Linked DNA regions of Macaca fascicularis. The protein of the gene in region 4 interacts with the protein of the main gene of each other region in a pairwise test. Links are inferred from orthologs where the notes say so. Each region holds a gene or a part of one and is shown on either strand. Other genes may lie near its edges. The genes, in order: MTMR9, IFT20, BEX3, EMILIN1, ZC2HC1C and NMI.

Evidence for each region.
Region 1: the proteins of EMILIN1 (region 4) and MTMR9 interact in binary tests that used the Homo sapiens proteins (3 or more experiments, as listed by UniProt). The link is inferred for Macaca fascicularis from reciprocal best matches to the Homo sapiens genes EMILIN1 and MTMR9.
Region 2: the proteins of EMILIN1 (region 4) and IFT20 interact in binary tests that used the Homo sapiens proteins (3 or more experiments, as listed by UniProt). The two-hybrid records come from large-scale screens. The link is inferred for Macaca fascicularis from reciprocal best matches to the Homo sapiens genes EMILIN1 and IFT20.
Region 3: the proteins of EMILIN1 (region 4) and BEX3 interact in binary tests that used the Homo sapiens proteins (3 or more experiments, as listed by UniProt). The two-hybrid records come from large-scale screens. The link is inferred for Macaca fascicularis from reciprocal best matches to the Homo sapiens genes EMILIN1 and BEX3.
Region 5: the proteins of EMILIN1 (region 4) and ZC2HC1C interact in binary tests that used the Homo sapiens proteins (3 or more experiments, as listed by UniProt). The two-hybrid records come from large-scale screens. The link is inferred for Macaca fascicularis from reciprocal best matches to the Homo sapiens genes EMILIN1 and ZC2HC1C.
Region 6: the proteins of EMILIN1 (region 4) and NMI interact in binary tests that used the Homo sapiens proteins (3 or more experiments, as listed by UniProt). The two-hybrid records come from large-scale screens. The link is inferred for Macaca fascicularis from reciprocal best matches to the Homo sapiens genes EMILIN1 and NMI.

The regions. Positions count from the first base shown.
Region 1 is NC_088382.1:9,627,640-9,631,785, reverse strand, and holds the start of MTMR9 (myotubularin-related protein 9), read left to right. Parts: upstream 1-1,346; 5' UTR 1,347-1,431; coding exon 1,432-1,613; intron 1,614-4,146. UniProt on the Homo sapiens protein: Acts as an adapter for myotubularin-related phosphatases. Increases lipid phosphatase MTMR6 catalytic activity, specifically towards phosphatidylinositol 3,5-bisphosphate and MTMR6 binding affinity for phosphorylated phosphatidylinositols.
Region 2 is NC_088390.1:33,791,542-33,795,651, reverse strand, and holds the start of IFT20 (intraflagellar transport protein 20 homolog), read left to right. Parts: upstream 1-1,310; 5' UTR 1,311-1,406; coding exon of another isoform or gene 1,407-1,419; 5' UTR 1,420-1,455; coding exon 1,456-1,531; intron 1,532-1,689; coding exon 1,690-1,818; intron 1,819-3,156; coding exon 3,157-3,242; intron 3,243-4,110. UniProt on the Homo sapiens protein: Part of intraflagellar transport (IFT) particles involved in ciliary process assembly. May play a role in the trafficking of ciliary membrane proteins from the Golgi complex to the cilium.
Region 3 is NC_088395.1:109,756,187-109,759,405, forward strand, and holds BEX3 (protein BEX3), read left to right. Parts: upstream 1-1,197; 5' UTR 1,198-1,273; intron 1,274-1,677; exon of another isoform or gene 1,678-1,756; intron 1,757-2,112; 5' UTR 2,113-2,139; coding exon 2,140-2,475; 3' UTR 2,476-2,719; downstream 2,720-3,219. UniProt on the Homo sapiens protein: May be a signaling adapter molecule involved in NGFR/p75NTR-mediated apoptosis induced by NGF. Plays a role in zinc-triggered neuronal death.
Region 4 is NC_088387.1:95,156,457-95,160,651, forward strand, and holds the start of EMILIN1 (EMILIN-1), read right to left. Parts: upstream 2,801-4,195; 5' UTR 2,351-2,800; coding exon 2,181-2,350; intron 1,235-2,180; coding exon 1,115-1,234; intron 654-1,114; coding exon 433-653; intron 1-432. UniProt on the Homo sapiens protein: Involved in elastic and collagen fibers formation. It is required for EFEMP2 deposition into the extracellular matrix, and collagen network assembly and cross-linking via protein-lysine 6-oxidase/LOX activity.
Region 5 is NC_088381.1:143,018,294-143,022,222, forward strand, and holds the start of ZC2HC1C (zinc finger C2HC domain-containing protein 1C), read left to right. Parts: upstream 1-1,129; 5' UTR 1,130-2,058; coding exon 2,059-3,390; intron 3,391-3,929. Other genes in the region: ACYP1 (acylphosphatase-1), read right to left, coding at 217-383, 608-859.
Region 6 is NC_088386.1:46,844,477-46,848,436, forward strand, and holds the start of NMI (N-myc-interactor), read right to left. Parts: upstream 2,801-3,960; 5' UTR 2,737-2,800; intron 1-2,736. UniProt on the Homo sapiens protein: Acts as a signaling pathway regulator involved in innate immune system response.

The DNA.
Region 1 (4,146 bases), on a different chromosome or scaffold from region 4:
CAAGGAAAGTTGGTAGGCATTTACCTATCTCACTTACGACAGTTCTAAAAAGTGTTTTATTTTAAGAAGGGAACATGTTAAGAAGGGCAAAATCAAAAGCATGGACAAGTGTTGGATGAGCTGATGAGGTTGTGGCAATTTACTTCGTGAATACTGTGAGATTTTGTCCTGTGCTTCGGTACTAGATGGTGAGGATTTAAAAGGTCAATGAAGTCACAGCAGACCAGCACTCAAACATATTTCTCTTCTATTTCCTATTTTTGAATAAAAATGTCAGTTTCAAGTGGGCGGTGGGAAAGGAACACGCAAAGGAGTAATTATTTGAATACATTTTTGGCGCAACGTGGGTGTCTGACGCTGAGGCTGTGCAGTGGTGACCAATGCACCCATGCGCTGGGTTTCACAGGTGCAGATCGAAGTCCATGCTCTGCTGCAGATTGACTGGGTGGCCGCCATCAACTCAAGTGACTTACTCTTCTGTGCATCGCATCTACATCTATTTGGGTTCCTCTCACAGGTATTCCTGTCTTGCTCCAGGTCACACTTCGTGGCGCGGCCCTCACGGGGAGTCAGTGGCGTGGCCCTGTGTCCCTCCCTGACCCCTGGAGGATTCCCTAAGGTCACAGTCACCGCCTCATCCCATACTTGCCATCTCTTCAGGGCTAATGCATAACAATTGTCACAATTTACAGCAGCCCCACGCTCTGAAGAGCTTCTGGAGGGGGTACTACTCAAGCGGAGGGAGACAAGACAGGGACCTCCTCCCATCGTCCCCTCTTAACGGGCCTCTTCTGATAAGGAATATTTGTAGATGGGTGAGAAGGGCAGCGGGAGGGCGTGAAGGTAAAGACAAGTTTTTTTTTTCTCGTAGGAACCCAAATCTTCTGGTCTGGCTGTGTTTCCGGAGGCATTTCCAGAGGACCTAGAGAGGACCGACTTCCGGCTGCGACTTCCGCGTCTTCCGAGTTTGGAGACCTGCTGCTTCCGCCCGGAGTTGCTGTGGGCTCCAGCTGCGAGCAGCCACTTCCGCCAGGAGTCCCTAGCGGCCAGGGCGTGGAGGTGGGTCCTGAAGCGGCTTCGTCCTACTGCCCGCCGCGTGCCCACGCGGGACACGAAGCCCAGCGGCAGCGGCGGTCCCTGGGCCTGTGGAGAGGCGTTCTCTGTGGCCGAGTCCTGGGCCTGGGAGACGGGGCGGTGCGGGAGAGGCGCCCGGGCCTAGCCCAGCCCCAGCGCCTGTCTCCTTGCCGCTGGTGCCGGCGGCTGCAGGCCTCGCCGCGCCCGCCCAGCCTGGGGCGGGCCCAGCCTCACCGCCCGGCCCGCCCCGCCCCAAGGGCCAGCCCCGCGCCGGGTGTTTCCGCTCCTCTCCCTGCGGCGGGATAACCGCCTCGCACCTGCCGGGCTCGGTTCCCTGGCTCCGGCCGCGGGGGGAGCATGGAGTTTGCGGAGCTGATTAAGACCCCGCGGGTGGACAATGTGGTGCTGCATCGGCCTTTCTACCCGGCTGTCGAGGGCACCCTGTGCCTGACGGGCCACCACTTGATCCTGTCCTCCCGGCAGGACAACACGGAGGAGCTGTGGCTCCTTCATTCAAACATCGACGCCATCGACAAGCGGTGAGTGCCTGCCCCACCCCAGCTCCGCAGGGAGCCGGGGATCCCCTGTGGGCGCCCCGGGAAACACTTCCTGGCGTTTTCCGCGCATCCTGCCGCCCAGCTGGCCGGCAGGATGAGCCCTCTGTGGCCTAGAATCAGGATTTACCTGGCAGAAACCCGTCCAGATGGAGGATCCGGTTTCCATTAAACCTGGATGGAGTTCTCAGGGTTATCGTGTGGCTGGTATCATCCTGATGATCTGGTTCGTAACACCATTTGGGTGGATTTTCGGCATTGTCTTTATAAATTTCTTCTTCTTGCCCCATCGTATTCCTTGAATCGGTATTGTCAATCACAGTTCATGAAGTTGTGATTGGATGTGACTTAGGCAAGTGTTTACCATTTTTGAGGAAAATTCAACTGATTATAAAGTTATGAGTGCCTACATGCCTCAGAACCATTTTTTAATTTCTGAAATATGTTCAGTTTATTATGTTTCTTACCTTCTGGGTCATCAATTTCATTCTCACTAGGGGAGGTTCTGTTGTCTTCTCTTCATCTTTACTCAGTTCTGCTTGCTGAAAGAACAGGGTTGGCTCTCAAGGAAAGGCATGGACCAATTAACCTCTTTTTCCTTTTTGTACTCCAGACTATCTTTCCAAGGCAGTGCCTCGAAGTCAAAAAGTTATACTTTAATCTGCAGTCAAAATTTCCATCTCCTTAGTGGCTTCTCTCTAGCCAGGAGAGGGCAAACTGATCATCCAGTTTACACGGAAGTAGAAATGAATGACGACAACGTTTTCTATTGCCTCACAGGATAATTTGGATTTTAGGAAGATTCCTAGAGAGGATATGCCTTAAAATAATAATTTCTTTTTTTTTTTGAGACGGAATCTCACTATGTTGCCCAGGCTGGAGTACAGTGGCCAATCTCACTATGTTGCCCATGTTGGAGTGCAGTGGCAAATCCCGAGTAGCTGGGATTACAGGTGTCCACCGGTACACCCGGCTAATTTTTGTATTTTTTAGTAGAGATGGGGTTTCACCATATTGGCCAGGCTGGTCTCGAACTCCTGACCTCGCAATCCTCCTGCCTTGCCCTCCCACAGTTCTGGGATTGCAGGCGTGAGCCACCGTGCCCGGCCTAAAATAATAATTTCTAATGGTAGAATTGCAGGAAGTTTGGGTGAAGCAGCGGTAGATTGATTGATTTGAGCAGGGGGCTCGTATTAGTCTCCTCAAGTCACCTTTTGCTGTATAAAGTCTTCAGTGGGCCCGGCGCAGTGGCTCACGCCTGTAATCCCAGCACTTTGGGAGGCCAAGGCGGGCGGATCACCTGAGGTCAGGAGTTTGAGACCAGCCTGACCAACATGTTGAAACCCCATCTCTGCTAAAAATACAAAAAATTAACCGGGCGTGGTGGCAGGCGCCTGTAATCCCAGCTACTCAGCTACTCAGGAGGCTGCGGTGGAAGAATCGCTTGAACCTTGAGACAGAGGTTGCAGTGAGCCGAGATCGCGCCACTGCACTCCTTCCTTTGCAACAAGAGCAAAACTCCATCTCAAAAAAAAAAAAAAAGTCTTCAGTGGTCTCTCATTGAAAATCTAAACCCCTCACAGTCATTCATGGCATTCTGTGTCCCAGCCCTAGCCTACTTTCTCACTTTATTTCTTGCCATTTCTTTCAATGAGCCCTTCTTGCACTTCCTTTCATGAACCTTTTTACCAGCCAGTCCTCACCATTTACTGGTGCTGGTATATGTCCTGTATTCCGTCATCTGTGTATTTTATTGACTTCTTCCTTCTGCTGGAATGCCTTGCCTCTCCCAAGTTTGTTAAACATTTGCCAAATGCCTTTATGTTCTGGACATTTTGTGAGGCACTTAAGACACCAAGATGAATAAAATATATCACAGTTCTTGTCTTTCAGGAGTTCACATGGCAATGAGCCTGTTACCCGTCTATGAGTATTCAGTTTAACCATTTCGACCGCTACCTCCTTCACAGATTCTTCTGTTAATTCCACAACTGGAATTCATTTTTATCTCCTTCGAAACTTCTAACTGTGGCTTGGGCATATAGACACATAGGAAATAAAAGAAGGATTGACCGCTGAATGGTTCAGTGACGCCATTGAATACAAATGAGTAGTCTCTCCGTGACCATCAACTGCCTTTCCTTTCTTATTTACCTTTTATTGTGTTTACTTTTCGCTCATTCCTTTCCTCCTGTTTACCTTGCGTTTACAAGGTGCTGGGCTTTGTAGTGCATGAAGAAGAAGCAGATGAGCCATGGACCTTTGAATCTGTTGGGAGAGAATGACGAACTGTGCACACATTTATCTTTCTCCTGGGAAGCAGTGTGGTGTAGTGGAAAGAGCATAGGGGAGGCATCACATCAGAGTTTGTTCAATTGCTGCTTTCAAGAAATCTTCACATCCACCCGTTTTCCATGTGTGCTGTCTAGCTGTGCGGCTGCGGTGGTGACTAAGACAAGCTGCTTAGGTACTGGCCGGGGAGATGGACAATCAAGCAAGTCCAGGAATAAATACGTAT
Region 2 (4,110 bases), on a different chromosome or scaffold from region 4:
GCTGAGGTGGGTGGATCACGAGGTCAGGAGTTTAAGACCAGCCATGGCCAACATGGTGAAACCCCGTCTCTACTAAAAATACAAAAATTAGCTGGGCAAGGTGTCAGGCGCCTATAATCCCAGCTACTCAGGAGGCCGAGGCAGGAGAATTGCTTGAACCCAGGAGGTGGAGGTTGTAGTGAGCCGAGATCATGCCACTGCACTCTAGCCTGGACAATGGAGTAAGACTCCTTCTCAAAACAACAACGACAACAACAATAACAACAACAACAAAAGATCCAGAAGTTCTGGAAACAGTGAGACTTGATTATTTTCGAACCATTGCTCCTCTTGTGGCACACCTGCCCTAGACAGCCACCCCCAGAATCACCCCATTCAGAACAGGACTTCTCTAAGGAAGCCACGAGGGAAACAGCTGAGGCTGGGGGCAGTGAGGGTAGAGGGAAGAGGCTGGTGCAGGTCCAAGTGATGGTAGACTTTGGAGCACCTGGGTTTTAGAATTGGCATAGCAGCTAATTGCTAGATGTAACTAGCATTGCCTCCCTTTTTAAACAGGTCATATGATGTCTATTTTTAATTTTGTGTGTGTGTGTGCGTGTGTGTGTGTTTGAGCCAGAACGAGGGTGAGTTTTCAGTATTTCCTTCCCAGAATTGAGGCATCCTTTGGAACAGAAATGCAAGGTGGCTTGGAAAGGGAGAAGATATCTTTGTTAGTTCTCTGTTGCCTACAGAAAAAATCGTAACTCCTTAGCTTGGCATACGGGTCTTCCTGGTCTGGCTCCAGCTCACCTTTTCAGCTCCATCCTTTTTCCTTTCATCCTTAGGCGGGGTAGGTCCTTTCAGTGACTTCAGGCCTTTGTCCATGCTGTTTTCTCTGCTTGGAATACCTATCCCTGGCCTGCTGCCTTGATACGTTCTTGCTGATACTTCATTCCTTTTTGTGTTTTCTGCTAGAAAGAGAATAACCCAACTTTGATTCCCAATTCAGGCAAGCATACATTTTGAGTAATATTCTTACTCCTGACTTTGTATTTTTTAACCATAATTTTTAATTCACCCAGATTTCTTTTATTTGGTTTGTGTGTTGTTCCAGTATGTGTATTTGAGAAGCCTTCTCATGTGCTTTTGGGTACATAACTGGTGATATATAAAGTAAATACACTTATGGCTCACAACTTAGTTCAGATGTCACTCCTTCTTTAACGGCTCTATCCTCCTCTGGCTCTTTACTGATATTTCTAAACAAGCATTTAACACAGTGTGATTTTTCAGTTTCCGTGTCTGTCTTCCTCCAGCTGAACTATGTGTCTTCAGGGCGGGCACCGTGTTGCATTCATCTTTGTACCCCCAGCATCTAGCAGTGTTGGCATGTAGTAGGCACTCAAGAAATGTGTGTTGAATGAACGATGCCTGTGACAAGTAAGCGGACTTTATTCTTTCCTGACCCTTGCTCCTATGACACACCTCCTCCTGACTGCCACTGTCACTCCTTCAGAGCAGAACTCCTCTAGGAAGTCTGGATGGGAAACAGGTGAGGCTCAGAGAGGTGGTGGCAGAGGGAATGGGGAGCCTTTGGAACATCTGGGTTTTTGGCATTGGTGTCCAAGGGCAGGAACAGGGCTGGCTTGGCAGCAGGCATTTCATTGGGTGGCTAGGAAGTGATGAGGAATTGGGCTGGTTTCTTTGCAGCCATGGCCAAGGACATCCTGGGTGAAGCAGGGCTGCACTTTGATGAACTGAACAAGCTGCGGGTGTTGGACCCAGAGGTTACCCAGCAGACCATAGAGCTGAAGGAAGAGTGCAAAGACTTTGTGGACAGTGAGTATTGGGGAGATACCGTGTCACTCAGCTTTGAGCTGCCATTCCAACTGTACCCCAGGCTCATCTTGGCCCTGCCACAGTGGAGCTGCTGGCTCCCTGGAGGTCGAATCTGGCATCTGTGAGTTCCCATGTGCCACCCTTCTCTGCCTGCCCTCGTGCTCTCATGTGTCCCCAGCAGAGCACCAGTCAAACCAAACACTGGGATGGGGAGGGTGTTTTTAGAGATGCCATCTTTCATTTCTTGCTCTTAGAAACCTTAAACTTTCTGGGAACATAACCATGGCTTGGGGGTGAGAAATAGAATTATGTACTCCTGATTTGATTTCTTTAGAGGAAGTCTTCTTAGTGGCAGGTTCTCTGTTATTTGGAGTTAGAAGTGATAAGTGAAGTTTCTAGAAGCAGCTCAACAGACTTACTGAAGTCATCTTTTGGCTAGAAATCTTCAGGAAGCCTCCTGTCCCAGCAGCCAAGTAAGCCCAATGCATTCAGTACAGAGCCCTATCTAGCTAGAGCAAGGGATTTCTGAGCTTTCTGGGGGCTTCCTAGGTTGTGGAGAGAGCTTGATTAGTGAAAGGTAGCTTGGGTTCTGTCACTAACCTTCTGTGATTGATGTGCCATGCACACACCTCTCTGGGCCTTAGTTTTCCCTCAGTAAGTTGTGTTTCCGTCACATCCAGGACATTGGAGAAAGTGAACAGGAGATTAGGCACTTAATGCTGTGAGCTCTCTATTTTCTGTGGTTACAAGTGGGAAGCCCCCATCCCCACTGTTAATTGAAATCTGGTGTCATACCCGTAGCTAGTCCAGAGGCAGCGCTTGTGTCCTGAGGCTGCCCTTTTGTGAACAACAGTGCTTCCTGTCATTCCTGGGGAAGCAGGTTGGGGTCTGTCTGGAGGATGAGCCCAGCAAGGGCCTAGTGCTTTCATAGCCTGAGATCATAGCAGCTGGTTGGCTCAGTGGGGACACAAGGTCCGGGTATGTCCTGGTCCAGCTGGCCACCCTTCTCTAGGTTCAGACCAAGGGTAGGAGACAGGCCAATAGGCACCAAAGTGTTTAAGTGACAGGGTCTCGCTATGTTCCCCAGGCTGGAATGCAGTGGCAGTTCACAGGCATGATCACACATCCTCTAACTCCTGGGTTCAAGTGATCCTCCCACCTCAGCCTCCTGAGTAGCTGGGACTACAGGTGCTCACCACCATGCCTGGCTCACACCAAACTATTTTGACACAAATTAGAAGGGGCAGTCAGCTCTGCCCTCGCACTGCCTCAGCACTCTTACTGAAGGGCAGTGATGAGACTGAGGAAATATTTTATTTTTTGTTCTTTTTCTGAAAGAAATTGGCCAGTTTCAGAAAATAGTTGGTGGTTTAATTGAGCTTGTTGATCAACTTGCAAAAGAAGCAGAAAATGAAAAGATGAAGGTAAGATCAGCATGTCTTCTGCCTACGTCTTGGCCTGGGACCCTAGTTTACTACCCTCTCATCTTTCTTCCCTCTTGATTTGTTTAGAGGGGTGGGTGGGTGAGTTTTCATTTAAGATTTTAAGGCCGGGCGCGGTGGCTCAAGCCTGTAATCCCAGCACTTTGGGAGGCCGAGACGGGCGGATCACGAGGTCAGGAGATCGAGACCATCCTGGCTAACATGGTGAAACCCCGTCTCTACTAAAAAATACAAAAAACTAGCTGGGCGAGGTGGCAGGCGCCTGTAGTCCCAGCTACTCGGGAGGCTGAGGCAGGAGAATGGCGTAAACCTGGGAGGCGGAGCTTGCAGTGAGCTGAGATCCAGCCACTGCACCCCAGCCTGGGCGACAGAGCGAGACTCCGTCTCAAAAAAAAAAAAAAAAAAAAAAGATTTTAATAACTTCTAGTCCACTTAACCTACTGAACTTACGCCAGTCTTTATTTCCTTTAATCTTTTTTTTTTTTTTTTTTGGAGACAGAGTCACCCAGGCTGGAGTGCAGTGGCGCAATCTCACTGCAACCTCCACCTCTCAGGTTCAAGAGATTCTCCCACCTCAGCCTCCCAAGTAGCTGGGACTACAGGTGTGCACCAACACACCCAGATTACTTTTTTGTATTTTTTTTTTTTGAGATGGAGTTTCCTCTCGTTGCCCAGGCTGGAGTGCAAGGGTGCGATCTTGGCTCACTGCAACCTCCGCCTCCAGGGTTCAAGTGATTCTCCTGCCTTAGCCTCCCGGGTAGCTAGGATTACAGGCACGCGCCACCACGCCTGGCTAATTTTGTATTTTTAGTAGAGACAGGGTTTCTCCATGTTGGTCAGGCTGGTCTCG
Region 3 (3,219 bases), on a different chromosome or scaffold from region 4:
CCGGCTATTTTTTTTGTATTTTTAGTAGAGATGGGGTTTCACCATGTTAGCCAGGATGGTCTCGATCTCCTCACCTCGTGATCCGCCCGCCTTGGCCTCCCAAAGTGCTGGATTACAAGCGTGAGCCACCACGCCCGGCCAAAAATAAAATTTTAAACGAGCTAGTATGTATCAAAAGTAATGGTTTGATGTTGTGTGGAGCCCAGAGAAAATATTTCGTGTGGCACAAGTCAACATAAACAATGACAGAGATTTCATTCTGCAGGATAAAGCATTTCCTTTTTTTTTTTTCTTTTCGTTTTTTTTTTGACAGGTTCTCGCACTGTTGCCCAGGCTAGAGTGGTGTGATCCCGGCTCACTGCAACCTCCGCCTCTCGGGTTCAAGCGATTCTCCTGCCTCAGCCTCCCGAGTAGCTGGGATTACAGGCGCCCACCACCACGCCCAGCTAATTTTTGTATTTTCAGTAGAGACGGGGTCTCACCATGTTGGCCAGGCTGGTCTCGCACTACTGGCCTCAAGTGATCCGCCCGCCTCGGCCTCCCAAAGTGCTGGGATTACAGGTACGCCACCGCACCTGGCCAGCATTTCTTTCAAAATTAAAAACTTATAATTTATAATTTTCGGAAGCATGCAGATTTTTTAAGGAAATAAAAAGAAATATATACAGCCCACTCCACTTCCTTGCCCCTCTTTCTGACAAGTGCCCTCCTGCCTCACCACCTTAGCCATCACTCTAAATTTTCTAGAATGGTAGGACTTCAGGGGCTACGTGGGCATTGATGGCTGTGCACACGCAAGGGGCAGGAGTGGGAGTGCAGCGCAAAGCATGTTGCCAGGTAGAAGAGGAGAGAAAGCAGAAAAGGCCAAAACCAAGGCCTGAAGTGAGAGGGGGCGGTGGTGGATGATGCAGACCCTCCCTGGTAACCAGAGGAGGGCAAACTCCAACCGCAGAGCAGTGATGCCACTTGTGGGCCCTCAGATTGGAGAGGACCGAGAAGAGTGACAGGGCTGTGCGCTCTGGGGCACTTCACGCAGACGGGAGTAGGGAGGCTGTTTTTTGCGCGTGCATATGGCGGTGGGGGGGAAGGGGGATCCTGCTGCACTGGCCGCCCAAGTTGGGGGGCGAGCTCGGTGGTGACGCGCGGCCCTCACGTGACCCAGAGCTGCAGAGCGACGCAGCCTTCGGTGCAGTCGTCACTCGCGTCTGTCTACCAGCTCCCCGCTGCCCTGAGCTCGGCGGGCTGGCATCCGGCCCGGGAAAAAGCGGAGCAGGTAAGGGCCCCGGGGCCCGCGCGCCCCGGCCATGCCAGCAGCGGCTGACCGACCCCGGCAACGGGCGCAGAACAGCGCAGGGGTCCCCGCCAGTTTTCTCCACACTCCAACATGCTTGGGAACATAGAGGCCCCCAAGGGTGGGGAAGCAGGGGCGGCTGGGTTTCCAGGGGCGGCAGAGCCACCAAGAGCGATGGAAAACCACCCCCGAGTCCCTGCAGGAAAACGGGGAACACCGCGGGGGCCGGGGCGGCCGAGGGTGGGGTGGGAGCGGGGGGTGGGAGACGCGGGGCGCTGGCGCGAGGGGAGCCCGGGCCCAGGGCAGGGAAAGGGCCGGCGGCGGCTGGTCCTCTCTAGCGTGTCGCTGCAGCAGCCCCCACTCCCCCCACCCCGGCCCGACTGCAGGTCTGCGAGGCTAAGTGTCCCCGCGGCGCACCTAGCAGCGAGAATCCGGAGGAGGAGGAAACTGCAAGGATAGGCCCAGGTCGGTTCGAGGGACGGTGGTGGGGCGGGGGTCGGAACGTGAGGAAAGCCCAGTCTGAGACCCCAACCCCCTCCACCCCATCCCCCACTCCTATACCGGTCCTCCATTTTGGTGCCTGCGAAGCTCTGGGAAAGAATCCTGGGAAAGGAAAAATGGTGGGTTTGGGGGAAGGGAGGTAAGGGGAGAAAGCTGGAGGGAGGGGCTCTAATTGGAGGCCCCCTAGAGGACGCACGGAACTTCCAACTTGGGAAAAAATGAAATGAAAAAATCCTTTGATATCAGGGTTCTGAATCCTGCTGGTCAGTGCACCAAGCATTCAGTCTCTCTCCTTGCCTTTGTCTTACTTGTGTTCAAAGAAAAACAACCAGAAAAAAAATCTCATCATGGCAAATATTCACCAGGAAAACGAAGAGATGGAGCAGCCTATGCAGAATGGAGAGGAAGACCGCCCTTTGGGAGGAGGTGAAGGCCACCAGCCTGCAGGAAATCGACGGGGACAGGCGCGCCGACTTGCCCCTAATTTTCGATGGGCCATACCCAATAGGCAGATCAATGATGGGATGGGTGGAGATGGAGATGATATGGAAATATTCATGGAGGAGATGAGAGAAATCAGGAGAAAACTTAGGGAGCTGCAGTTGAGGAATTGTCTGCGTATCCTTATGGGGGAGCTCTCTAATCACCATGACCATCATGATGAATTTTGCCTTATGCCTTGACTCCTGCCATTTATCATGAGATTAATACTGTGATTCCCGCTGTTTTCTTTTTCCTTGCATTTTCCTAATATGCCTTTACTGATCCGTTTGCTGTGAACCCTGTTATTTCCATGTGTCAAGTGGGTCTTGTGTTGCCAGCTTCTATTTGGAAATTGCCTTTGCACTCAGTCTAAGTTTCTGTCAGCAGTAGTTTCACCCATTTGCATGGAAAAATTTAAAGCTAATAAAGCAATTTAAAAAGCAATCTATACATTTATTGTCTCATTAAAAATGTATACTTACATATAACAGATGAACTAAAAAAAATCTGAGATTAAATACACTAGAGTGTTAATTGGGGCACATTTCTGTGTGATAAGTAATCCCAGCAGTTTGGGAGGCTGAGGTAGGCGGATCACGAGGTCAGCAGATCGAGACCATCCTGGCTAACACGGAGAAACCCTGTCTCTACTGAAAAAAAAAATACAAAAAATTAGCCGGTCATGGTGGCACACGCCTGTAGTCCCAGCTACTCGGGAGGCCGAGGCAGGAGAATGGCTTGAACCCAGAAGGCAGAGGTTGCAGTGAGCCGAGATCACGTCGCTGCACTCCAGCCTGGGCGACAGAGCATGACTCAGTCAAAAAAAAAAAAAAAATGATATGTGACATTTTTTCCTTTTATTTTCTGGAGTTTGAGAAGCAATGAAAATTATTTTTCAATGAGATTATGAATGTAGTGCAGATACATAACAATACTGGCTCAAC
Region 4 (4,195 bases):
TGCAATGCATGCTAGGATTTGTAGTCTCAACTGTCTGTCCCCATGGACCAAGCTTCTCAAAGGAATGCCCCCTTCTCCTGCAGCTGTTTGAAGGATCTTGGCCACATGTGGGCGTGTGCGAGCACCTTCTCTTTCTCAGCCTTCTTTTTCTGTCTCTCCATCTTTTGCATGCTCGCTGTCTCACACACAAACACCAAGAGAGACACACACACCCACACACACATACGCACGCGCGTGCGCGCGCACACATAAACACACACACACACACACACACGGGCAGGGAATCTCTGCGATCTCACTAACTCCCTTCTGCCCCTCTCTTCTTTCTGGCATAGAGCATGGGAGATTCCCCCAGCAGCCTGGCCCCGCATTTCCCATTGCATCGGATCACCATCTGGCACTTGCCGCCCTCGAAGCAGCTCCCACACTCACCTTCTCCCCCCAGTCCACTGAGGGGGCTGCCCGCACTGGAGCCAGAGAGGTTGGGACGGGCAGGCCGGGGCAGGGGCCGTGGTGTGGAAGATGCAGGCCCCAGCGCTGGAGCAGGACTCTCAGCACAGTCATCGCCCCCGTAACCCTGACAGCACCTCCACTCCATGTCGGTCACTGTCTTGTAGGCCACACGGTAGCGAGGGCGGAGGAAGCGGCGGTACCTGGCAGAGGCAGAAGGAGGCCTCTTTATTCCTCCCTGTATTGTTAGTGACCCTGGTCCCTGTCCCAAGGGGTGGGCAGCTGCTGGTGGGCATGGCCTGTCCCTCAGGCTGGGTCCCTCTTACTGTCCAACATGTGGCTTTGCTCAGCTGACAGCTGTCAGCTTTTTGGTCAAGGGCTAAATCCCTGCTCTTCCTTCCCTTGCCCTGCGCTGAAACCTTGAACTCCTCTGCTTGAGCCTGAGCCATCCCAGAGAAGGCATCTGGGGCTGGCGCGTGAGGCAGGTTTGCCCTTAGTCTCCCACCAGCCAAACTGTTGTCTCAGTATCTCCTCAAAATGGCTGCGACCCTAGACCCTGTCCTGCCCTTGCTCCCTGCTTTGTACAGACTCCCTGAGTCAGCCACCCACCATCTGCCCTCACCCAGTTCCCACCAAGGGCCCATTCCCCGGCCCTGGGACTCACATGATGCTTTGGGGACACTGGGGTTGGCCCCAGGCACAGGGCTGGTACTTGACATATGTCTCCACTCCATCCTCAAGGACACAGCTCACTGTCCGGGTCACCACATAGGCACACCAGTTCCTGTAGGTACAACCCCCTCTGGGTCCAAGGACCAAAGATACACGTCCTGGAGGAGGGCCCAGGGGCTACCAGAGGGGCTGAGGAAGGCTCCAAAGATGCAGGGCCCTTGGGGATCAGTGAGAGCAAGGACTTTGGCAGGGCCACCCTCCCTATCCCCCACGCTTTCCTGTGTAGCAGGGGCAGATAAAGACTTTTCAAGATGGGGAGTGGTGCAGAATGGTAAACCACAACCACAGAGCAGTCAGCCCTCATGGCGGTGAGGCCCTGGGGAGCCTCTGAATGTACACGATCACGTGTGTCCCTTTCTGGGCCTGTCTCAGTCCCCAGTTTGGCATGCCGTGTGCGCACAGCCAGGCTGGGCCCTGTGGGTGATCTGAACACTGGCTTCCACCCCACCCCTCCGGGAGAGGATGGGCAGGCCAGCTCGGGGTTAAGTAGAGAATAAGCCATTGATGAGCCTGCCCCTCTTGCAGTTCTATACTCCTGGCCCCATTCATGCCGGCCTCTGATCTGTGTCTGGCTGAAGGGCTGGAGGGAACAGAGCGGGAGTGGTGTCAGAATTATGGATTACTAGATGGGGCCAAGGGAGCCCTAGAAGGGGACAAAAGGTCTCCCTGAGGCTCTGGGGCTGGGATACAGAGGGCAGCTTGCAGGAAGGCCTGGCCTGCTCCCCTCAGGGCAGCTTCCCTGGGTATATAACTGCAGGGCCCCATGGGGGCATGTGGGAGCAGACCCCCTAGGTGACCCAGGGAGCATATATGTTCAGGGGGTCCTGGAAAAGGTGCTGTGGGAAGGTGGGCATGTGAGGAGCCACCTGATGGATGGGCTTCTCACTCCCCCTCTGCCCTGCATTAGGGGACACAGCCCAGGGCAGAGAGCCAGGCGGAGGTGGCATTCTGAGCCCCTTTTCACCACCCAAGCCTCGGGCTGGGACCCAGACTCTTACCTGTGGCGGCTGGCTGGCCGGGGGGCGCTCTGGGCCTGGGGCCCCCCGGGGCTGAGGGCCCCACCGGACCCCGTGTAGAGGCTGTAACCTCGAGGAGGGTAGCTGGCGGCCCCCGCAGCTGCGGTCAGCAGGCAGCAGAGGTAGCAGCTCCAGAGGGTGCGGGGGGCCATGGTGGGGCGCTCCACAGTGGCCCTCAGAGACTCATCCCGCCCAGCCACTGGCTCCTCTGCTGGCCCCAGGGATGCTGCTGCTCCACAGGACAGCGCGAGCCCGTCCTGTCCGTCCCGGCTTCCTGCCGGCAGCCCCTGTCCACACGTCTTCTCCTTGGCTGCCTGGCCTGACCCCTCTCCCCTCCTCTTTCCTCCTCAGCTCCTGTCCGTCCCTGCTCGGTTCCTTCCGCTCTTCTCTTCACTTCTGAGGGGGTTTGTTTTCTGTGCCCCCTCTGGCCTCTGGTCCCTGCCCCTCTCAGGAGCTGCGGCTCAGAAGTTGCGTCCTGGGCTTCCGCCCCCTCGTCCCAGCTGGCCCTCTTCTGGTCTCCCTGTCCTCTTTCCCTGATGACCGGATCCTGGGGGTGACAGGGCTTTGCCCCTGTGGCTGTTGGGAGGCACGAGAGTGGCCGTGGGGCGGGCCCTGGCCTCCTCCTCCCTGCTGGCTTCCCTCCCTTCCCCCCTGTCTGGCTGGCGGTCCTGCCTCCCCCTTCCTCCCCCCACCTCTCCAACCATCGTGCGCCACATCTGCTTCTTGTTAACTCCGGGAAAGAGGGAAAAAAAAGGAAAAACAGAAATGTGGAGTTGCCGCCGGGCTTGAGGCCAGCCTCTCAGATGGGCCACATGGAGCCAGGGCCAAAGCTGGGAAGGAGGCCCAGGGCTGGTCACTCCGACGGGGAACGGGAGCCAGAGTCGCAGCTCCCCTGGGGCTGGAGCAGGCCTCCCCTGGGGGAGAGGGCCCCAGAGAGGGAGCCCAGAGGGGAGGGCAGGATGGAAGGACTGGACAAGGGAGAATGAACTTGGAGAGCTCAGCAGGACTTCACTCACCATCTAGTCCAGCAGTCTCCTTTTAGAGATGTGAAAATTGAGGTCAGAGTGGGAGAGTAACTTGTCCAAGGTAACACAGCAAATCAGTGGTAAGGCTGAGAACACACACTAAATACCAGGTCAGTGACTTGGGAGAAAGGAGGAGAGGAGAATGTGCTAGTGGGCCAGGAAGGAAAAGGAGTCCTTACTCCACTGAGGCAGATGGGAAATCCACAGACGACAGAAGAGGAAGAAAGGGCCGGGTGTGGTGGCTTACGCCTGTAATTCCAGCACTTTGGGAGGCCAAGGCGGGCAGATCACAAGGTCAGGAGTTCAAGACCAGACTGACCAACACGGTGAAACCCTGTCTCTACTAAAAATACAAAAATTAGTCGGGCGTGGTGGCGTGCGCCTGTAATCCCAGCTACTCAGGAGGCTGAGGCAGGAGAATCGCTTGAACCCAGGAGGAGGAGGTTGCAGTGAGCCAAGATCGCGCCACTGCACTCCAGCCTAGGCAACAGAGCGAGACTCTGTCTCAAAAAAAAAAAAAAAAAAAAAAAAAGAAGAAGAGGAAGAAAGGCACCTAGCAATGGGGAGCAGGCTTCTGTCAAGCAGGAGAGGGCACGTGGGCAGGAAGACGAAGAACCTTTCTTAAAGGGATAAATGAAAATGGGTCCTGGGCTTGTTTTGGTGACGGTCAGGCCATAACTGGGTGGAGGTGGGGTGAGGTGAATCGGGACTGACCTCTAGAGCAGCAGAGGCAGTCAGTCCCTAGTCTGGAGGTGAGTCTGATAGCTCTCAGTGACAGGCAAAGGGCCGTCAGCCTGACCTGAAAGTTCCACCTGCGCCATCTTGATCTAAAAGCTTGGTCCCTGTCACCACCTGACCCTCAGTGCTTGACCAGGGTCTGCAGGTGGTGGGATGCTTTGGAGAAAGAAACGGAAGCACAAGACAGAAAGGAGACAGGAGAATGCTGTGTGCCAGGCACTGCGGAGGTGCCCA
Region 5 (3,929 bases), on a different chromosome or scaffold from region 4:
AAAGGGAGAGAAGGAAGAGGAGAGAGAGAGAGAAAGAAAGCCGGTACATCCTGCTGAGGGAAGCTGCGGGAGTTGATAATTGGGACCCTGAGTAGAGTGGGAAACATCTGGAGCTGCATATATGTAGAGGTGGTGCAGGCAACAAGGGATGAAAACGAGGAATTAAAAAAAAAAGAAAAGAAAAGAAAAAGAAAAGAAAAAAAAAGAAGGACTGACCTGGAGGGTCCACCAAGGAATTTCTTTGTAACAGGTAACAGCTGTAATATGACATGTTGAAGTATTAACACTGATGACTGCTTGTCTACATTATTTTCCAAGTGCATGAATTGAGTAGTTACAGGGAAAAAGCGAACTGCCTGTTCCCAACGTCCTACACAGATGAACTGAAGCGAAGAAAAAAAAATAAACTTTCTTTTGATGTCAACAAGTTACAGAGTATCATTTACTGTTGAAACCAGGTTATACTGATTATTTTCGATCTGGTAGTTCTTTATTATCATTACACTTGGCTGAGTCATTCCTACGCCCTAAGTACAGACGGCTAGAGTTACCACGTGAGAGTAAAACATTATAATATCAAAATAATTAGATTGGCCACAAAAATTACCCCGGAAAGATACTGCGTAGCAAAAACGTTGGCAGCAAGTTCCAAAGACTTGGCGACGACAAGCAGGGAGCGCGCACGTGCAGCCATACCTGGGGCCCGCCCAGCGCAGCCAAGCGCGCCGAGAAAGGTCAGCAGCAGCCCCGCTCCCACCAGGCAGGCGGTCGCCTGCACCCTGCGGCGGAAGCACGCGGAGGCACAGCCAGGGCCTCCGCCCTTTGCCAGTGAAGGGCACACCCCAAGGTCTGGGAGCATCGTTCTCAGGAAAGTACAAGTTCTTCTTTGATGGAGCCCCAGAAAAGCCTCTCCCGCCCTTCCTCGGCTCCCCAAGGGCAGGGCTGTACCCGGCTGCAGAGTTGGCCGGACACTGACTGGGTCAAGTGACGGTCGGGCTGACCGCACCCCCCACCCCCGGTCGCCCCGGGTCGCTGGTGCACTGCGCCTGCGCACGCCTCCCCAAGGAGTTCGCAGCGAGGGGCGGAGCTTGGCCCGCCAGTAACTCGGTCTCCAGGCACCGGGAATAACAGAAGCTAGCTGAGAGCGCCTGCGCGGCCGTCGGTTGAGGGGGAGGTCGGGTCTGGGAAACTAGGCCCTGGGGTTTCCCCTGAGCAGGAGCGGTGCCCGAGGGCCTCAGGTACGCAGAAGGGCGGGGAGACAGAGGGTCAGCACCTCCTAAGGGCCCGAAGGGCAGGAGAGAGAGAGGACTTGTCCCCAGAGGCGGAGTCCGTAGTGGGGGCGCCCCAGTTGACCCTTCGGGACAGAACGTGACTTCAGCCTTAAGGATCTAAAACCGGCTGCAGCCAGGTCAGGTGGCCCTCAACGCTCAGGTTACAAAACTTTTACCGTCTGCGCCACGGGGACTCCTGGGATGAGGGTTTGACAGCCAGGCACCTGCTCCAGGCCCTAGCAGCCTCTGTGCTCTTTTGAATCAAGCACGGTTCCAGCAGGAGGGAAGCCCTGAGAGCTCTTTGTGCCAGTCACTACCTCTGGGCCACAGCTTGCTCACCTGTAAAATGGTGAGGATGGACTCGGACGGAACCCTTCAGTTTACAGGTGAAGAAACGGGGGCCAGCAAGGGAGAAGTCGCTTGTCCTGTTACAGGCCTAAAACCTGACTTTCAATCCGATGCTCTTTCCACTTACTGTAGAGTATACTGTGCGTGGCAGAGGCTGGTGCTGGAGGAGAGGAGAGCTAGGTGGCAGGAACACCTGTAGCACCTCCGTTTCTCTACCCTCAGGGCCTAACACAGTGTCTTGTGCATAGTAATCACTCACCAAATGGTTTTTGAAGGGAAGCTTTGGCAGATCCAGCACCACTGTCCCCAGAAAAGTTTAAGGAAATGTGGGCAGGGCAAATGTTGAAATAGTTTGCTTTAGCAGACGAGAGTGAACCTCAGACAAACTCTTCGCATGTATCTGGTTTAAATCTCCCGTAGGCATCAGTCCAGGCCCTGAATGGCTGGTCTCCAGCGGTTGGCATCACATCTGCCTGTGGGCGTTATGCTTCCACATAATACAACAGAAGCTCCAGGGCCCCACTCAGCCAAGCAAGACTCTTACGAACAAAGTGACTCTTCCCAGCAGTCCTTGAAGGGGCACCTGAGGAACAATTTCCAGAAGCAGCTTTTGAGCAACAAAGAGTTGACTCTGGATAAAGTCCACACTCACCCCAAATGGAACACAAAAGCCCGGAGCTACTCCTATCCCCACTGTACTGGAATCAGCCACCAAGATGCAGGAAGTGATTTCCAGGGCCAAGGAAATGGTTTGTTTTACTCATCAGGCCCTCAATCCTGGTATCCCAAAGCCAATAACCAGGACTTTATCCCCTTTACAAAGAAACGAGTTGGAGTGGACCGGGCGTACCCACTGAAACCCGTGGTCCACAGGAAGTCGTGCAGTACAGGTGAGTCTGGCACTGATGGGGACCAGAATGTCTACCCAAGGCCCCCTGAACTGAGAGAGTTTTCATCCAGGAACTTTGATGTGAGGAACCAGGTCAACTTTTCTGTGGTTGATCCTGTTCTTGCTGCCATGCAGGCGGAGAAGGCCTTGGCAAACTTGGACAGGATGGAGTGGGTGCAGATCCAAAGACTAGAAGCTGCAGGGGAGAGCTTAGAGGAGGAAATCCGAAGAAAGCAGATTCTCCTGAGAGGAAAGCTGAAGAAGACAGAGGAGGAACTCAGAAGGATCCAGACGCAAAAGGAACAGGCCAAGGAAAATGAAAACAGAGAGCTACAGAAAATTATATTCCCCAGGAGCAGAGTTAAAGGTAATAACAGCAACACCACGCACAAAGCTGTCTTCTCCCCAGAATTTGATTTTGAGGAAGAATTTAGTAGAGACAGGAGAGAGGATGAAACTTGGGAACGGTCTCAACAAAATTCGAGTCCATTCCAGCTCTCTGATTATAGAATCCAGAGACTCAAAAGGGAAAGGCTGGTAGCAAGCAATAACAAAATTCGAGACCGAGTCTCAGAGCCGTCGATGGAGAAGTTCTCCCCGCCTTCAGAAACACCAGGCGGTGCTTTGCAGGGATCTGCCAGAAATTCCAGCCTGTCCATGGCACCAGACTCCTCAGGTTCCAGCGGCTCCACTGAAGAGCCACAGCTGGGTGAGTGCAGCCACTGTGGGCGAAAATTCCTCTTGTTCAGGCTGGAGAGACACTCCAACATCTGCAGCAGGATGCAGGGTTCCAAGAGGAAAGTGTTTGACTCCTCCAGGGCCCGGGCTAAGGGCACAGAACTAGAGCAATACTTGAACTGGAAGGGGCCAGCTTCAGCCAAGGTAACAAGAGCCTTATGGATGTGACTTGGTGTGGGGATCATTGTAGGGGTCTGTTTTGTCATCATCAGTTTTCTTTAGGGAAAATTCATGTGTCATGTAGGAAGAATTGACGTCTAGAATTAACATTTCTTGATTACTACTGTATGCCAGCATTGTGATGGGAGCTTTGCATGTGATCCTCGCATTTATCTCTCATTTTATCAGTTCAAAAATCAAGACTTGGACAGGCTAAGTAACTTGCTTGAGGTCACAAACAGCTTTAAGTGGCAGAGTCAGCATATAAATCTTGGTTAGAATGACTAAAAAATCTAGACTAAGAATTTGTGTCCTTTGGATTATAAAAGTAATAAAAGTTTACTGTAGAAAATTCAAAAGACACAAAAAATCGAAAGAAAAAAAATGCAGGCTTTTGTCACCTGGAGAGAACGCCTCACTCTTTGCAATGTATTCTGCCACCTCCCAAGACTAGAATCTGTGAGCATTCCTTTAACTATGTAGTCTGTTAAGATTAGCTCAGTGTTGGCCGGCGCGGTGGCTCA
Region 6 (3,960 bases), on a different chromosome or scaffold from region 4:
AACCTGGACAGATACGTGTTACAACCACTGTCTGCTCTGCAAGCCCAACAGGCTTTGTACAAGGCCATTGTGTGTTCTTCGATTCCCTTGAATTCCCTTAGAAATCATTTACTAACCCCCTATAATCATCCACGATTCCCCATCTCCCTTTCCCCTAAAAAGTAGGGAATATAACCATCTGTACCCCATTGTGCAGTACAATCACTATGTGATTTTTTCCCCTGTGCACATTAATAAATGTGTATGCCATTTCTCCTATTTAATCTGCCTTTGCCCTTCAGAGAGCAAAGAGGAAGTTTTCCCTTGACCCCTACACTATCCAAGACATTATCAGGACAACTGGTGAAATTCACATTGGATCTGATTATTAAATTGTAGTAAGGTAGCACTCCACACTCCTGATTTTGATGACGGTATTGTGGTTACGTTGGAGCACATCTTTTTTGTAGGAAATATATACTCAATTATATAATGAAAGATGATAGGTCACCAGATTGGAAATTTATTCTTAAATAATTTAGGAAAAGGAAAAGTTGTTTTACTGTACCTGCAACTTTTCTGTAAGTTTGAGATGGTTTGAGACGATATATATATATACACACACACATATATACACACACATATATACATATATATATTTAAACCACGTCTCTCTCTATCTCTGACACATACACACACACACAGAGCATACATATATATCGCTATTGTATCAACTGCAAAATCTTCCTAATGGTCAGCCATGGTCTGCTGCATTCTAACTCCAACTCACTTTCCAGTCTTATTTAGTCAATTCCTCAACCCAGTTCCCTAACCACACTGAACACGTGCATAGTTCCTTTTCTTTCCTCTGTCCCTCAAACTGTCACATCCTTCCTCCTCTCCTAACCTTAATCTCCATCTAATGAAATCTTACTCTTCTTCAAGGTCCATTCCAAATTTTCCCCAAGTTCCCAAAGCCTTTTCTGATTCCCCTAAAGGATGTTACTCCGCCTCCTTTGTCTCTTTTGTGGCACTTTAATTATGTGTGTACCTGTGTCATTTTCCATGACACGTCAGTAAAGATGTTGAGGGCTGGGACCATGTCTACTCCTCCCTGCAGACCTTCAGAGCACTTTCTCAGTATAAGCTTACACACTGAAAACACTCAATTTAGATAATTATGTGGGATCTTCAGTATTTGTTGGACTCAGGACGTCAAGTGCATATGAAGTCCTCATTACATTTCAGAAGACACAAACTGCAATGTTATTTAGTTGCTTTTTATCTTTATTATTGTGACAATGCCAATCTTCCTAAGAGCCTGTAATAAAGGTTCTCAGCATAAATGGCCTACTGTCTAACACCCCAAGAACGCTTTTGGCATCTTTACCGTCTGGATACTTTTGCTCTACGCATGAGTGGGATGTATGGTCATTCCTTTTATGCAATCATGTAGTAGGCAAAACAATGGCTCCCTCAAAGATGTCCACATCCTAATCCCAAGAATCTGTGATTACGTTTGTTTACATTGCAAATGCGAATGAAGGCTGCAGATTGAATTAAGGTTGCTAATCAGCTTGCTTTTAAATATGGAGAGAATCCTGGATTACCTGTGGGGGCCCACTGTAATCATGAAGATACTTAAAAGTGAAAGCGGAAGACAGAAGAGAGTCAAGAGTGCGATGTGAACCCAGAACTCTCAGAGGTGCAAAGTTGCTGGCCCTGCAGATGGAGGAAGGGCTACTGAGCCAAATGAGGTAGGTGACCTCCGGAAGATGGAAAGGGGATTCACCCCAAGAGCTTCCAGAAAGGAAGGCAACCCTGCCTTTGATTTTAACCCGGTGAGACCTCGGTAGGACTGCTACGGAATCCTAAGATAGTAAATTGTGTGTGTGAGAGTGTGTGTATGTATGTGTGCGCGCGCGCGTTCCTATGTGTTTAAGCCACTAAATCCATGTAATTTGTTATGGCAGCGAATAAAAAAAAAAAAACTAATACAAATCACCATCACCGTATTTCCCTAAGTATAGTCATATCACTGCGGTGCCAGGCCGTGTAGAATCGAATCTTCCTATATGCATGCCCGGCAGCAAAAAGAAAGAAAGGCAATAGAGCGCCTGCCTGTTGTACAGACTGGAAACATAGTATTCTCCTTAGGATGTCTCCTTCAAGAAAAACCTTGCCTATTCTGAAATGCCAGCCATGAACGCACAACACTGCCCCTGCCAAGAACCGTTTTCTTAAGAAATCCATTTTCCTGCAATCCTAGCTACTTGGGAGGCTGAGGCAGGAGAATCACTTGAGCTGAGGAAGCGGAGGTTGCTGTGAGCTGAGATCGCGCCATTGCACTCCAGCCTGGGCAACAAGAGTGAAACTCCGTCTCAAAAAAAAAAAAAAGAAAAAAAAGAAATCCATTTTCCGAAGAACTATCTCTAGAGAAACTTCGAGAAAACAGCGAGGAAACACAAATAACTTTATGTTTCAATTTCCTGAATGAAGCAAAGCAAACAAGTGACAGGGCTGGAAGCCCTGACGGCCCAGAGACTACACAGCGGGCCCAGGAGCAGGTGCGCCCCCTCGAAGGCGGCGTGGCCTCTGCAACCCGCCTGCGGGAAGCTCCCGGGAGCAGGATCTCAACCGTGGCGCTGTCCCACTCCCGTCGGCGCTGAGGTCCCCCGCCTCCCTTTCCACCCCCGCTCTCCAGCCCGGGAATGCCAGCGGCGGGAGTGGCAGCCGGGAAACGGACTCCCCACTCACCCGCGTCCGCCCGCCGAGCGCAGCTCGCCGAGGCCCAGCGCGCCCGCTCTTCCCGGAAAACAGCAGCGCCCGGGACGCCGGAACCCCCGGAGGCACTGGGAGGGGAAGGGCCGGGCTGTCGTAACTGGTACTGCCTCCTGCAGTAGCGCCTCGGAAGAACTGGGGTGTAGTTCTGAGGAGGTGGGCCTCGCAGGAACAGCTCAGGTCCCTGCGAAAGGAAAAAGTGAAAAAGAAAACTGCTTTAACGGCGATTTTTCTTTAGCACTTAACCACTGCTCAAATACTAAATCTGGTGTCTCCCATGATGATGAGTCACTAACAGAAAAAAAAAAGTTAGAACTAATTTCACTTTCGATTTTTAAAAAGGGGTGGTTTTGCGGAGAAAAGCAGAAGTATCCCTGAAGTTTCTGTACACACTAATTTTAGGGAATGTTTTCTAAAACCAGTTTTTGCATGTATTTTACAAGGCATGTAGGAAAAGTGGATAGAAACCAAACAAAGTCAAAGCAGGAATCGCTCTTCAGATTGTAACTCTTGTAATTTCTTAGTCATTGTAGCACTAGTTTATAAATTTTTACAGCCAGCACAAGATCGGCGTTTCTGTGTCTTTGGTAACATCCCCGGGGCCATGAAGTTGGGAAAGCTGTGGTGTTCCTGTTGGTTTCTATGACCCGTGTCCCTTGAAAGTTTTCTTAAAATCTCTTGTTTTGTTGTGGAGCTTGTAAATAAATCCTTCACTAGGTGTGAACTTTTCCTTTGAAAATTCAAACATCTGCTTTATTTCAAGAACTGCAGTGTCTCTTAATCCCACACAAAGAACCACCCCACAGCTGCCCCTGTTGATAAATACAGATGTGGAAAGAAAATGAATCAAAACGATTTCAAGGCATAAATTCTAGGTTATCATGCTTCCTAGTCACATATAATAACTGATATAGTTGTCTAAACTAACAGATTAACAAAAGCGAATTTTCTGTATATCAAAAAGATGGGAACCAGTTTAAAGTGGTGACATTTCTTTTTCCTTTTTTTTTTTTTTTTTTTTTTTTTGAGATAAGTCTTGCTCTGTTGCCCAGTCTCCAACTCCTGAGCTCAAAGCAGTCCTCCCACTTCCACTCCCAAGTAGCTGGGATTACAGGAATTCACGACCGCACCCAGATTTTTTTGTACTTTTAATTTGGGGGCTGCAGGCAGGTATCTAACTGTGTTTCCTAGGCTGATCTT